Linked DNA regions of Macaca mulatta. The protein of the gene in region 2 interacts with the protein of the main gene of each other region in a biochemical or structural test. Links are inferred from orthologs where the notes say so. Each region holds a gene or a part of one and is shown on either strand. Other genes may lie near its edges.

The links.
Region 1: the proteins of ARHGEF12 (region 2) and RPS6KA1 interact in a test that uses a peptide from one of them, tested with the Homo sapiens proteins (2 studies listed by BioGRID and IntAct, with this or other methods). The link is inferred for Macaca mulatta from reciprocal best matches to the Homo sapiens genes ARHGEF12 and RPS6KA1.
Region 3: the proteins of ARHGEF12 (region 2) and IGF1R form a complex in vitro, tested with the Homo sapiens proteins (2 studies listed by BioGRID and IntAct, with this or other methods). The link is inferred for Macaca mulatta from reciprocal best matches to the Homo sapiens genes ARHGEF12 and IGF1R.

Annotation. Positions count from the first base shown.
Region 1 is NC_133406.1:214,441,917-214,446,476, forward strand, and holds the start of RPS6KA1 (ribosomal protein S6 kinase alpha-1), read right to left. Parts: upstream 3,039-4,560; 5' UTR 1,972-3,038; coding exon 1,837-1,971; intron 1,008-1,836; coding exon 891-1,007; intron 685-890; coding exon 603-684; intron 1-602. UniProt on the Homo sapiens protein: Serine/threonine-protein kinase that acts downstream of ERK (MAPK1/ERK2 and MAPK3/ERK1) signaling and mediates mitogenic and stress-induced activation of the transcription factors CREB1, ETV1/ER81 and NR4A1/NUR77, regulates translation through RPS6 and EIF4B phosphorylation, and mediates cellular proliferation, survival, and differentiation by modulating mTOR signaling and repressing pro-apoptotic function of BAD and DAPK1.
Region 2 is NC_133419.1:121,022,893-121,027,655, forward strand, and holds the start of ARHGEF12 (rho guanine nucleotide exchange factor 12), read left to right. Parts: upstream 1-1,716; 5' UTR 1,717-3,191; coding exon 3,192-3,223; intron 3,224-4,763. UniProt on the Homo sapiens protein: May play a role in the regulation of RhoA GTPase by guanine nucleotide-binding alpha-12 (GNA12) and alpha-13 (GNA13). Acts as guanine nucleotide exchange factor (GEF) for RhoA GTPase and may act as GTPase-activating protein (GAP) for GNA12 and GNA13.
Region 3 is NC_133412.1:89,165,073-89,169,084, reverse strand, and holds part of IGF1R (insulin-like growth factor 1 receptor precursor), read right to left. Parts: intron 960-4,012; coding exon 676-959; intron 1-675. UniProt on the Homo sapiens protein: Receptor tyrosine kinase which mediates actions of insulin-like growth factor 1 (IGF1). Binds IGF1 with high affinity and IGF2 and insulin (INS) with a lower affinity. The activated IGF1R is involved in cell growth and survival control.

The DNA.
Region 1 (4,560 bases), on a different chromosome or scaffold from region 2:
AGGGCACCTGGCTGCGACTCCGCCAGGTCAGTGGTCACACGGGCTCCCAGGCCACGGGGTCAGTGTTCAACCCAAAACCCACTACCAACCATCTCATATCCTTTGTAAGTCCCCAGAACTCTAATCTTGGCCCAGGGTTCCCTTCTGAACCTCTCTGCCATCCAGCTCTGTGGCCCTGCCTGGACTCACCCTCTCTCGCCTGGCCCAGCTGCCTCCCTGGGCTCCCTGCCTCTTCACTCACACCCTTCTCTCAGGCCCCTGAGTTAGGGGCCACAGAGGTCTCCCTCAGACTCTGCTAGCATCAACAGTCAGAACGCCTCTGCTTAACCAGCTAAGTAGCTGAGGGCCCTGCCCTCTGACAAACATATTACATTTACCCTGTTACCACCTTCCAGACCTTCACAGCCAGTCATTGGCACTTGGCTTAGGGGGAGGGGGACTGGGTGGGGAGAGATGGCTGAGAAATAGGCCTGTTTCTCCACCTTTGAACTAGGTGCTCCTGAAGACAGAGCCGTCTCCCTTGCCAGACCCAAGGCCCCTGAAGTCTGGGCTGCCTCCCTCAGCCCAGCCTGGGTTCTGCACAGGGAGGTGTCCCTACTCACCTTTCAGCGTCGCCTTCTTCAGCACCTTCATAGCATACAGGTGCCCGCTGTCAGGCCGGGTGACTTTCCGTACCAGGAAGACCTGAGAAGGCAGAGAGGGAAGCAAGGGCAGAAGATGGGAGAGGTCTGCGCCCAGGCTGACCTCCATCTTCTCTGAGCCCCAAGCTGGTCTTTTTGTTCTCCCTGGGTACCAAGGTGACCTCTGATCCTTTGGGCCCCTAGGTGACCACTGACCCCCACCTCTAACATGACGAGGGTTGCCTTCACAGCCACGGGCTCATGACTCACTTTGCCAAACGATCCCTGGCCCAGAACCTTGAGGAGCTCGAAATGGGATGGATCAGCCTTCTCAGAGCCAGCCTTGACGTGGTGCGTGATGGAGATCTCCTTGAGGACGCCCTCATCCTGATGGAGGGACAGAGCTGGTGGGCATGGTGGGCCCCATCCGGGCAGCAGGAGTTCCCCTGCCCAAGGCCATTCCCACCAGACCTCAGCAGATGAGACCTAAAGGCCCAACAGACGACTTCCCTGAAGGGCCAGCCTCCAAGGTCATTGATTTCAAAAGGGCCTCAAAGGCTGGGGAGGTCAAACAGAAGAGGCACCACTCCTATTGCTCCCGATGCTCTGGCCTGATTAGGCCCAAAGGGATGCCCAGGCATGGCCAGGCTGAGTCAACCTCAGGCTCCGGTTGAGACCCAGAGACCTGCCCCAGGTCTGCCTGTGGGGCTTCCCTCCCCCTGCTGCTTTAGGGTTGCCACAATAGGAAGTAGGTTTGTTCTCATATGGGGAGGTAGAGCTGGGCCTTCGTTCCTGGTCAGGATGGGATGAGGGGATCCCTCTGGTCAGTAGGACAGGGCTGACGTGCACAAAGACCCAAGAGTCACCCAAACTCCCCCATCAACTTGGTAAGTGCTGGCCTGGGGCAGGTCAGAATTAAGGCCAGAGACTGCATGGCTCATCTTCCCAAACTTCCTTCATACAAACCTACTAGAAGCCCCTTGCCACGTCCTAGCCATTCCAGGACTCTACCCTCCCTCTAATCTGCTGCCATTGCCTTGAAGCCCTGAAGTACCTCCTCACTTACCCAGGAAGCAAGTCTGGGCAGGGTCCAGTCACCCCGCAGGGCCAGGCCTGGGCCAGGACAGCCCAAAGCCAGATTACGCTAAGCTGGCTTCCCAGGCACCTGCTGCGAGGGACACAGCCAGGCCAGGACCAGACATCTGGGTACACTCACCGAGTCCCGCTGGGGGCCAGAGCCAGGGCCAGGGACAGGCAGAGAGGTCTGGCTGATCCTGGGCCGCTGCTTCCTGGGCAGCCAGGGGAGCAGGGCCCAGAGCCGCAGACGGGGCGGCTTGGGATCCTGCTCCATCCGCCCAGCAGGGCCACGGCACCATGGCAGGAGCAGGCAGAGTCCGGGGCTGCCGCGGTGGTGGCCGGGACCAAGGCGGATGTGCAGGGTGAGGGCGGGGGCTGGGCCCGGCCCAAGGGAGCCAATCACTCAGGGCCTGTGGTTTCCCAGCACCAGGCCTACACCCTCACCACGTTCCCTTCCTCTCTCTCCCCCACTCCTCAGTGCCCGAGGGCTGCCCTCTGGCCATTCCCCCATCCTCCCTGTGGGTCTGCAAAGGGAAAGCCCTCTGCCAGTGCAGCTGCTGAGCAGACAGGTACCCAACAGCAGCGAGGTACCCAACAGCAAACAGGTAACCAACAGGCAAAGACAGGTGCCTCATATGTGGAGGCAGATGAAGAGAGACACTCAACAGGCAGAAGCAGGCACCCAACAGGTGGAAACAGATGAGAATGGCATCCATCATGTCTGTAATCCTAGCACTCTGGGAGGCCGAGGCAGGCGGATCATGAGGTCAGGAGATCGAGACCATCCTGGCTAACACAATGAAACCCCGTCTCTACTAAAAATACAAAAAATTAGCTGGGTGTGGTGGCGGGCGCCTGTAGTCCCAGCTACTCGGGAGGCTGAGGCAGGAGAATGGTGTGAACTCGGGAGGTGGAGCTTGCAGTGAGCCGAGATCATGCCACTGCACTCCAGCCTGGGCAACAGAGCGAGACTCTGTCTCAAAAAAAAAAAAGAAGAATGGCATCCAACAGGCAGGAGCAGGAGAGAACACATACCCAACAGGCAGGGATGGATAAGGACACGCACCCAACAGGCAGAGGCAGGAGGAATTCATATCCAATAGAAAACAGATGGAGATGTGTACCCAATAAGGGGAAGCAGGAGGGGACTCATATCTAACAGACAGAGGTGGACAGAGACTCATCCCCAATGTGTGTAGGCAGATAAGGATACAAACCCAACAGGCAGAGACAGATGGGGCACAAGCCCAACAGGCAGAGACAGAAGGGGACATGTACCTAATAGGTAAAGACAGATGAGGACATGAACCCAACAGGCAAAGGCAGAAGGAACACATCTCCAATAGGCAGGGACAGAAGAGAATTCCAACCCAACAGGCAATGACAGAAGGGGACATAAACCCAACAGGCAGGCTGGGCACGGTGGCTCACGCCTGTAATCCCAGCACTTTGGGAGGCCAAGGCAGGTGGATCACGAGGTCAGGAGATCGAGATCATCCTGGCCTACATGGTGAAACCCTGTCTCTACTAAAAATACAAAAATTAGCTAGGCGTGGTGGCAGGCGCCTATAGTCTCAGCTACTTGGGAGGATGAGGCTGGAGAATGGCGTGAACCCGGGAGGCAGAGGTTGCAGTGAGCCAAGATCGCGTCAGGGCACTCCAGCCTGGGCAACAGAGCGAGACTGCCTTGGGAAAAAAAAAAAACAAACCTCAACAGGCAATGACAGAGGGGGACATGTATCCAACAGGCAGAGACAGATGGTGACTCGAACCCAACAGGCAATGACAGAAGGGGACATAAACCCAACAGGCAGAGACAGAAGGGGACAGGTATCCAATAGGCAGAGACAGAAGGGGACATGTATCCAATAGGCAGAGACAGATGAAGACATAAACCCAACAGGCAGAGACAGAAGGGGACATGAACAACAGGCACCTAACATGTGACATGTGCCCAACAGGTGAAGTCAGGCACTTATCAAGTGGCGAGAGAGATTGGAACCCAACCACAGACACAGGAAGGCAGCAAAGAGAGACAGCAGGAGAGGCAACGAGCCCCAAGCAGACTGACAATACCTAGGGCAGATAGGTCTGACACCTGGCAGATACACAGGCAGGCAGCAGGGCAGGGATCCCCAGGAAGGGGTTAAGGGCGGAACTGTGGGTTCTTGCTGCTGTACCTGGGGTGGGGAAAGAGATGAGGGGATACAATCTGCAAACTCTCACCATTCAGGAGAGGACTCTGGTATTTCTTACAGACCCACCTCTGAGGTTTTCCATTTCCCTAGGATTTTCCTCCTATGCCAGGACCTGAGGAGGGCCCAGATAGTGGCTGAGAGGACTATCTCCTGAGTGCAATCTGATGTCTTTGACTCTGATCATATCCTAAAAACTGGTATCCTCATTCCAGGAACAGGGAACTGAGGCTCAGAAGACAGTGACTCACCGAGGCTCAAAGCAAACAGTGGCAGAGCTAGCTTGGACCCAGGTGCCTCCCTGCTTACTGCCTGGCCTGGGGTCAGCAGGCATCAAATGCCAGGAAAGGGTGGACAGGTAAATCAGCCAGAGCCACGTCCTGCCCACCCGTCTACCCAAACCCCCTTCTCCTTCAGTACTAGAGTCCACCTGGGACCTCCCACTATAGGTCCTGTCCCTCGGAGACACAATCTTGTCTTCAGGGGAAGATACCTAACCCTCCCTGACAGATGGAGGAGTGGGTGGAACAGCCCCACAAAAACACCAGAGAGCCGCAGTCAAATCAGACCCGAGTGTAACCTCCTGGCAGGACAGGCAAAAAGCCTGGCTCAAAGAGGGACTGAGGGGGGGCCAAGGACACACAGCAATACCTGCACACCCCACCCTG
Region 2 (4,763 bases):
ATCAGACATCATCTGAAGACAGCTGGAGGCCCTGTCTTGAGGACTGTACTACCAATGCCTAAAAGAGTCTGGGACGCATAGTAGATACTTAATAAGCATGTTGAAAGAATGGACAAGAGGATGAGAATGTGGTTTAGAATAATCCCCATTGGAAAACCTCCTCAAAGAGCATGTCCAGTGGATTGGGTCATCAATGTCATTTTTCTAGGTAAATACTGACCCTGAGGAGTGTGTTCTACCTAGACTGGCTTGACTTTCTGAAGGCATCCATAGTTACAGCCTTTACAACAGTTGAACTGCCAGCAGCGTTAAAGAGGCTTTCAGGTTTTTTGTTTGTTTGTTTGTTTTTTAAATCATCAATGCTTTGTAGGTGACTACAGAGATTTTCCATCATTAAAAAAAAAAATTAGTTCTGGAATGAATAACCACAGCTTAATTCAATCTTTTGCTTACCATCTTCTGAAGCTTTCCCACAGCAAAATGCCTTCTTTGCTCACAGCTAGAACCGTGGGTCTGTTTAAGTTTGGAAAGATCTTGAAAGCAGCTTGCCAAGAGGTTTTGTATGCAAGGAAGAGAAGGTGAATTAGGAAACTTTCCCAGTTTGTTTTATTCCTGAAGCTTAAGTATTGAGGCTTCCCTCAAGTATTAAGGGAAGAGAGGAACTCATTTTTAAAATGCATGATTTGATGAGTCATTGGGTTCAATTAATTTGATACTTACACTGTAACATTATTAGAATAGGGGAAAATAAGATATTTAATACTTTTAAGAAAGATTTATTAAGTTTGGGAATAAGGTTTGCATTTTGGTCAGTGTGTATATATATATAGAGAGAGAGATGAATGGGATTCGTTCCAGTTACATGTAAACACTCAATTTAAGAGTCTTCAGGGTAGAATTGTCATGCTAGGATACACCAGCAGGTGGCAATGTGTCCTGGTCTCATCATTAGGAAAGTGCCTTGGCTAATCTGCTTCTATTCTTTCCAAAAATAAACATTACAAAATTAGCTGGCTGTGCCTTGAACCTAAAAATCGAGCAATAAAGAGTCGTCTCTGGCCTCTGTTTATCTTTTCCTTTTTTTTTTCCACCCCCCCGTTCTAACTAACGTCAGTGTGAGCTCATGCCTCTATTCGGGGATAATGATCCTTTCATGAACTGTTGTGGAATGACTTTTTGCAACAGCATTGTTAAGAGGTAATTGTTTCCTCTCTCCACATCCACTGTTTATTAGATTTGATTTGCTACTTGGATTCCACAAAATGGCTGAAATTCCTTGCCACCAACATAGGTTTACGCTCAAAAGTCTGAAAATAGTTGGATAAAGGGAATAGCCTCTTTAGACGTTTGCAGGCAGAACTGAAGAACTGCATTATACGTGGTACCTAAATTGCCATAATACTGAATTATTCAATCATAAAACTAGATGGGTATCTAAATCTCTCTACCCAGAAGGGGAAAAAAACGAAAAAACGTTTGGAACCCTTCAGAGAGAACCGTAATGCTATTTACTGGATAAATATACTTCATTTTCTTCTCCCATTTCTTTCCACAACACACTTGTTAAGTCGCCATGCAAAGCACCATGCCTTCTCAATTTGGCAAATAACACATTTCATTTTGCCAAGGCAAAAACAGCCTAAAAGCAATATTTATACCGAGAAGCCCTGGCTGCAGTCCCCAGCTGCTCTCCCTCAGCCCTGCGCCTCCCGCTCCCGCCGCGCTCTCCCCCCGGAGCCGGCAGGTGCCCAGGTGAGCGGGGCCTGCGGAGGCAGCGAGGGGCGCCGGCCGGGCACTGGTAGAACGCTTGCAGCCAGAAGGCAGGAGAGAGAGTACATTCCCTTAAGGAATAAAAGTTTCCAGGACAAGGGGGGCTGGTAATTTCCAAAGAGCCTCCCAGCACGATGTCCTAGGGATCTGGGGGGCGCTCTCAGGAGGTCTCTGGTGAAAGTAGACTTAGTACAAACTGGCCTCGAAAGACAACGTCTCGGCACTCAGGGGCCCAGGCGCCGCGGGAGGTTGGTGGGCCTCCCGGGGCTGCACGGGTCCCACCTCCCTCCGCCCCGCAGGACTACTTTTCCGCTCCCCCAAACAGGGCTCCGGCGGAGGCGTCCTTACAAGGGCGGGAGCGCAGCCCTGAGCGGCGGAGGGATCCCGGGTGAGGCGGCTTCCCGAAGTCAGAGGGGAGGGGGCCAAAAAAGTCGGCGGGGGACGGGAAGCGCGAGCTCGCGCCGGACGCGGCCAGGGCCGGGAAGCCAGAACCGGAACCGGAACCCGCGCGCGCGCCCGCGTTTGCGCGGCCCCCACCGCCGCCGGCCTCCTCCGCTGTCTGCGCGCGCTCCCGCGAGGGCCTCCAGAACCCGGCGAGCCGGCCCTGCGCGGGTAGAAGCCGCCGCCTCCGCCTCCGCCTCCCGGACCAGGGCTTCCAGGCCGGGCCGGACGGGCATCTCCCGCCCCTCGCGGGGAGCGTCGGGGAGGAGCCGCCGCCTCTGGCGACTGCGGAAGAGTCCGGGCCTCAAAGGGATGGGGAGCAGCCCGCGGCGCTGAGAGACCGGGGTCCCTGTCACCTCGGGCCGCGGGACCCTCCCCCGGCGCCCGCGGCTAGTCCCAGCACCGGGAGCCTGGTGGGGGCGGCGAGCAGAGGAGGAGCCCCGGGCCCGGGACATGGAACCGCGCGAGCCCGGCGCGGGACGGCCGGAGACGCGGCCAACGCTGCGGCCAGGAGCAGCCGGCAGCCCCAGATAGAGAGCCGGGAGGGAGGGCCCCGGCCCTTGCCGCGGCGGGGAGTTCGAGGCCCCGAGACTCCGGAGGAGGAGCCGACACCCGTCCCAGAGCTGATCCCGCCCCAGCCCCGGCGGGAGTCGCGGGTCCCCTTCCCACGGCGCGCGGACTTCTCTCTCTGAGGAAGTTTCTCCTTGTGCCTTCTGGAGGATTTGTCGCTAGCTCGACTCACTCTGGACTGACTCGCTCCCTGGCTTTCTCAGTTTGTTTTGGGAGATAACTTGTTTTCCTCCAACCCGCATCCGTTGACCCCTTCCAATCGGATGGTCTAGATGACTGAATGGAGTTTTGAGTTGGACTTTTGTGTCCCTGACGGAGTTGGGCCTGATCCCAGAGCACTGGGGGTGGGGAGGAGGTGTTACTGTAAAATGCAAGTTGGATAAAAGGAGGACCTCTCGCCAAGGGCCCCAATGAGTGGCACACAGTCTACTATCACCGACAGGTTGGTATGAATTCCTCCTTCGCTCGGCCTCCCGGAATCGGGCCCGACCTAGCAGGGGAGTCAGATTGTCTTTGGCCAGCGAAGTTGACAGGCAGAGGAAAGAGGGTTGTTTCGGAGCAGTGCAGTTAGCCTGGGGTTGCTGCCGAGTTATCCAGTTGATTGGCTTTTGGAAATGTAATTTTTCCGGAGAGAAACTTCCCTCCCGATTCTCAGAGAAGGGGGAGGCAAAACCATTATTGTGGTTTTCCGCCTGTAGTGTGCATTAGGATTGTGTACTCGTCTGGAAATCAGAGGAGAAGGTCATTTTGGGTGAAGGTCGGTGCCTGAAGTCGGCTTGGTATTGGTGTATTATTTCTCAGCTTTAGCCCTGTCCTGCAGTAGGTTCTCAAGACAATTACATTTTATGAATTTCTACCTGTGAACTTAATGTTGAGCCTACTGCATGGTGACCTGGGAACTTGATCTCTTTGAGATGTTGACCTGCACAGTGTTTAATTATTATCTAATAACTTTCCAGAATGTTGACATTACCAGTAAATCACAGGTTCTTGCTGGAAGCAATGTCCAGGAGCTGAAGAAATGAGGGTAAATCATGGGATTTGCTTTTAATTCTTGTATTTAAATATTTCATCTTCCAGAAACACTTGGCGTTTAAGAGAGATAAACCGTAAGCATAGTATAAGCGCGCAGCTGAATTTGTTGAGTTCTGTGTCTGTCCTTTATAGCACTTACCAGTGTTGCATGGTGGTGTGTGGCGAATGGAGCTAGACCATGTGTGGTTGAAGTACAGTTTGCTTATCCTAAGTTACTTTTGTTTATAGGGCAAGGGATAAAAAGTATATTGATTCCTTGACCACATTTCATTTCTCAATTTCATTATGACACTGCATGCCAGTCCGAAATGTCAGCTTGCTTTATTTTTAAGTTAATCTTCAAATTATTATATCATGAAAAAATAGATCAAGTAACTGAATTAGAGGGTCAAAGCTCTTTGATAAAAAGTGCAACAATAGTGCTTCTGCACAAAGTAGTCTAATTTCCTAATAAGAGTTTTACCCAATTGTAAGACTCATTTGTTGATTTTAAAAGGGCCAAATTCCATTATCATACCATAACAGCTACTCCAGAAACAGAACTTCCTCTTCCTGTTGATGCTTTCCAGCATCACATGAATGTTCACTTAAAAGAGTCCGTTAAATATTTAAAGCATTTATATTTACTCTTTGTGTATTTTTCAAAGTGGGTTTTCATTTTCAATGAAATAATTTTTAACTTTTCCAAGAATACACTTACTGTAAGTATTGACAATGCTTATCTTGCTTTCTTCTGGTTATCCCCATTTTTCCCCTTTCAGGGTGTTTCATTTCTGAGAAGTCACTTTTACCGGTGTGGGGATAATTGTTTTCCTGGTTCATTCAATTACGGCTTTTTCTGTTGAGCCTGTAAACAAAAGTCTTAGTAGGAACTAATGTAATGTTGGTTTTCATTGCGATGCTGAGGTGTTTAATTTATAGAAACAGAACGAACTCATTCCACACAC
Region 3 (4,012 bases), on a different chromosome or scaffold from region 2:
GACGATTGCCTCAAGGCATGCTACAATGGACTTCAGTGCCAGAACTGCATGGAGGAGGACCCCAAGCCCCAGACTCCTATCACCTCCATGCTCTTTCTACCGCCTGAGGCTTCCTAAAGAACAGGGCAGTTCTTGTTGTCTTTGAAGGCACCCACCTTCAAAGACAGATGAATGCCCGAGTGACAGGCAGTGTCTAACAACAAGGGAAAGCCAAAGGCTAAATAAGCAAGACCAGAGGCTACTCCAGGACTTGATCTTGAGGGGCATTGGTTACTCTGGATCGAGGCAATTAACTGGAGACATCTCTGAATATGTCAGAGCTCGGGGTTGGGGGGGGGCCCCGCAACCCGATTTGTGCACAAGAGGGGCAAAAGACAGTGGGAGTGCACGATGTGCACCGAGTAGCAGGTGGAGGGCGGACCATGCAGACAGCTCCCTGCTCCCAGCATGTTCCACGGAGAGACCAGGCTGGGAGTGGTGTCACTAGGAAAGCATGAGCTCTATTCCCTAGGCAGCTGGTCTACTACGCCACCTGCCAATGATCGCACGTTATTTAGCAGGCAGACCTCAGTCTAAGGGTTGTGGCCCTGGGTGTCAGACCCTTTGTCCATAAAACACATCTTCTCCACTAGGTTGTGAGGAAGGTGGCAATGGGGCCACCCGGATATACCGTACCTGCAGGCATAGTCCTTGCAAAGACAAAGTTGGAGGCGCTGCAGCCCAGTTTCTCAGCCTCGTGGTTGCAGCTGTGGATATCAATGCGGTACAATGTGAAAGGCCGAAGGTTAGAAATGACAGTTCTCTCCTTATTATCCACTCTGCTCTCAAAGAAAGGGTACTCTGTCTCTAGCTCTTCCAGATCTGTGATGTTGTAGGTGTCTGCCACCGTGGTGTTCCTGCTTCGGCTGGACATGGTGGTGTTGGCCACTTGCATGACATCTCTCCGCTTCCTTTCAGGTCTGCAAGGAAGAGATAAATGTGGCTTTTAAGTGCTTTTACCTCTTTCGTCTTTTCTATGACTTGAGTAAGAGTAACAGAAGAATCTTAACCATGGAATAGAAGGAGCTATTCAGCCCCCTTGGATAAGAACGCATGAATAACACGGGGATGTCCTTCCTCATTATCTTGCTTTTTCTACTATGCAAGTGTCAGAATGGGCACACAAACTCTCACCCCCACCCCCTGGCTCTCAGAGTGGTTCTTCGATTTTACCTAGAGGCAAACAGTGTCTCTGCCATTCTTGGCCAGGCAGTCCTGGCTGTGTCATCAGAACACTCAAGCCATCTGGTCACAGACCTTACGGTTAAGCATTAAAGGTGGCAAACCTACCAGCTGCGCTAAGATTTATTAGGGCAGGAGGGGAGAGGTGAGGTGTGTGGCAGAGGCCCCAGAGACCTGGGGCAGAGGGATATGAAAGCCTATGGTGGTGGCTCCTTGGATCTGCTCTGACTGTGGAAATAAAGATGCCTGGAGCCTAGCAACCCACGGACCTCAGGTCTCTTCTTGGGGGCTTCTGCTGCGGGCCCACCCCCAACCCCAAGCATCTGTGCTTGCTACACTCTGCAGGTCCCTGAAGCCCACCCAGGCCTCCTCCCAACTCAGCAGTGAGCACCTGTGGCCTCACCAAGGTCCTGCCCACGAGAGGGCAGAGTCTTTGTCATGGATTTGAATGGAGACTGGAACAACCAAAAAGCAAAAGGGAGTGCATAAAGTCATCACAAAGAGGACATTCACACCGAAAAGGGCAGATGAGGCATGAGGATGTGACCCTCTAATTGCTGCTTTGGTCAAATACGAAAAAATGGGCTTTGTGGCTCCCCCTAGAAACCTTAAAACAGAATCCTAATGTTTACAGGAACCAACAAAAACAAACAGAATACGAGAGGAGCACCCAGATGGAGAAAGGGCAACCCTCAGGTCAGCCACGGACCAATGGTGAGAAAACAGGGCTGAGGCCTTTGGCTGGGGTCACTGGTCTTAGGAATAGGCAAAAGGCAGGGAGTAAATGGGATGAATTCCATCTGCCCAGGGAAATGAGAAAGTCCAGAACATGGGAAGCTCATCAGTGCCATGGAGGGGAGAGCGGCAGCAGCAGCAGACAGGGAAAGCTCACACAGGGAACGGAGCAGCCCAGAAGCCACTTGCAGGTTTGGCTGACGCTCGGCAGGTTTCTGGCTGGTCCTTAGGCCAGAACCTGGGAAGGGGAGAGCAGGGGGCTTGGGGAAAGGGCCTCTGGCTCCCTAGTCTTCTCAGCCCATGGATTCCCCTGAGGAAAACATGGTCCTTCTTTGTGTAGTGGCACATGGGGGTCCCACCAAAGGCATAAACTGCCCAACACAGACAGGTTCATTCCAACAAGCAGAAAACCACAAGGTCAGGGCATGTACATTTGCTTTCACAATACTGGGGGAGGAAGGGTAAGGACATGAGGCTGATTATCCACAATCCTCACACTCTGCAAACCAACCAACCAGCTAACCAAGCTTCCTGGAAGGGAAAAACACAAGAAACCACATTTACTGCCACAGAAATCTTTGTCAACACATCAACAAATTTCCAGCCCTTCCTTCAAAACCAACACAATATACACATGTGTCTGTCAGAAGTTGCTTAGGTTTGATGCACTGCAAAATAATTCTGTGTCAAAACCCCTCTCCTAGCCCGGCCACCACGTTTAACAGGGATTACATCATTAAGTATACTCAGTAGTTTACTTGTTTATCAACACCACACTTTTAGGGATTGCACAGCTCTCAATGCTGATGACATCAAGGCAGTGACAAGGGGAGGGAGGTGACACAGAACATTATCTGGAAGGCAGGAACAGGGGAAGCACAATGGCCCATACATCATTTTTTGGTAAACAACTACATTTCCAAATCGTGTGCCCAACAGCAAACATTACTGCCAACTTTCCCCGCTCCACCCCATGATACAACCTAGCCCTATTGGAAAACCTTTTACTTTCCAACATCTGTCAACATTTTAGCTAGTTAAACCAAACTATGTGATTTACAAAATAAAGACAGTAGTCAAAGAAAGGCATTTACTGCCAAATACTGACTTCAGAAACTGGTTTTACAAACTCTAGCTTCCACTCTACTTCAAAACATACAGGATATTCTGGACAATTTATAAGGAACTAAATCTTACTTAACTGGTTTTATCCCACAAATAAATTATTCTCAGAATGAATTGAAAGAAATCAAATCTGTTTTCGGACATTTCACTTGTAAGATAGAAAGCCAGCCTTTATGATTCAATCATATTGTCAGCTGGACACTCCTTCACCCAACTCCGCCAGAACTCAGTAGGAGGCAAAAAACAAACATTAACTTCTTATAAAGCATGGCCTCTCACCATGAACAAAATATTGTCTTTATATACATCCATGGAAAGGAGAATCATAAGTTGGACTTGTCTTAGGAGAGAGAAAGGAAGGACTGGGGGGACAGATAAACACACTTCTCAAGTGGAATAGAGGAAACTTGTTTTGAACCCACCACCACCAATGCTGTGCATTAATAACATCAGTGCCAATCGCGGCTCTGCCTTCACACATCACATAATCTTTTTTTTTTTTTTTTGAGACGGAGTCTCGCTCTGTCGCCCAGGCTGGAGTGCAGTGGCCGGATCTCAGCTCACTGCAAGCTCCGCCTCCCGGGTTCACGCCATTCTCCGGCCTCAGCCTCCCGAGTAGCTGGGACTACAGGCGCCCACCACCTCGCCCGGCTAGTTTTTTGTATTTCTTAATAGAGACGGGATTTCACCGTGTTAGCCAGGATGGTTTCGATCTCCTGACCTCGTGATCCGCCCGTCTCGGCCTCCCAAAGTGCTGGGATTACAGGCTTGAGCCACCGCGCCCGGCCACATCACATAATCTTGTGCTCCACATCTGATGAGAAAAAAACAGGTCTTGCCTTGTAACTACAACTGAAAGCAAGGGGCCTTTCAGCAAAATCTTTCCAAAACCTTGATTCACAACCCGAACCTCCTGCTGGTTGGTGGAACA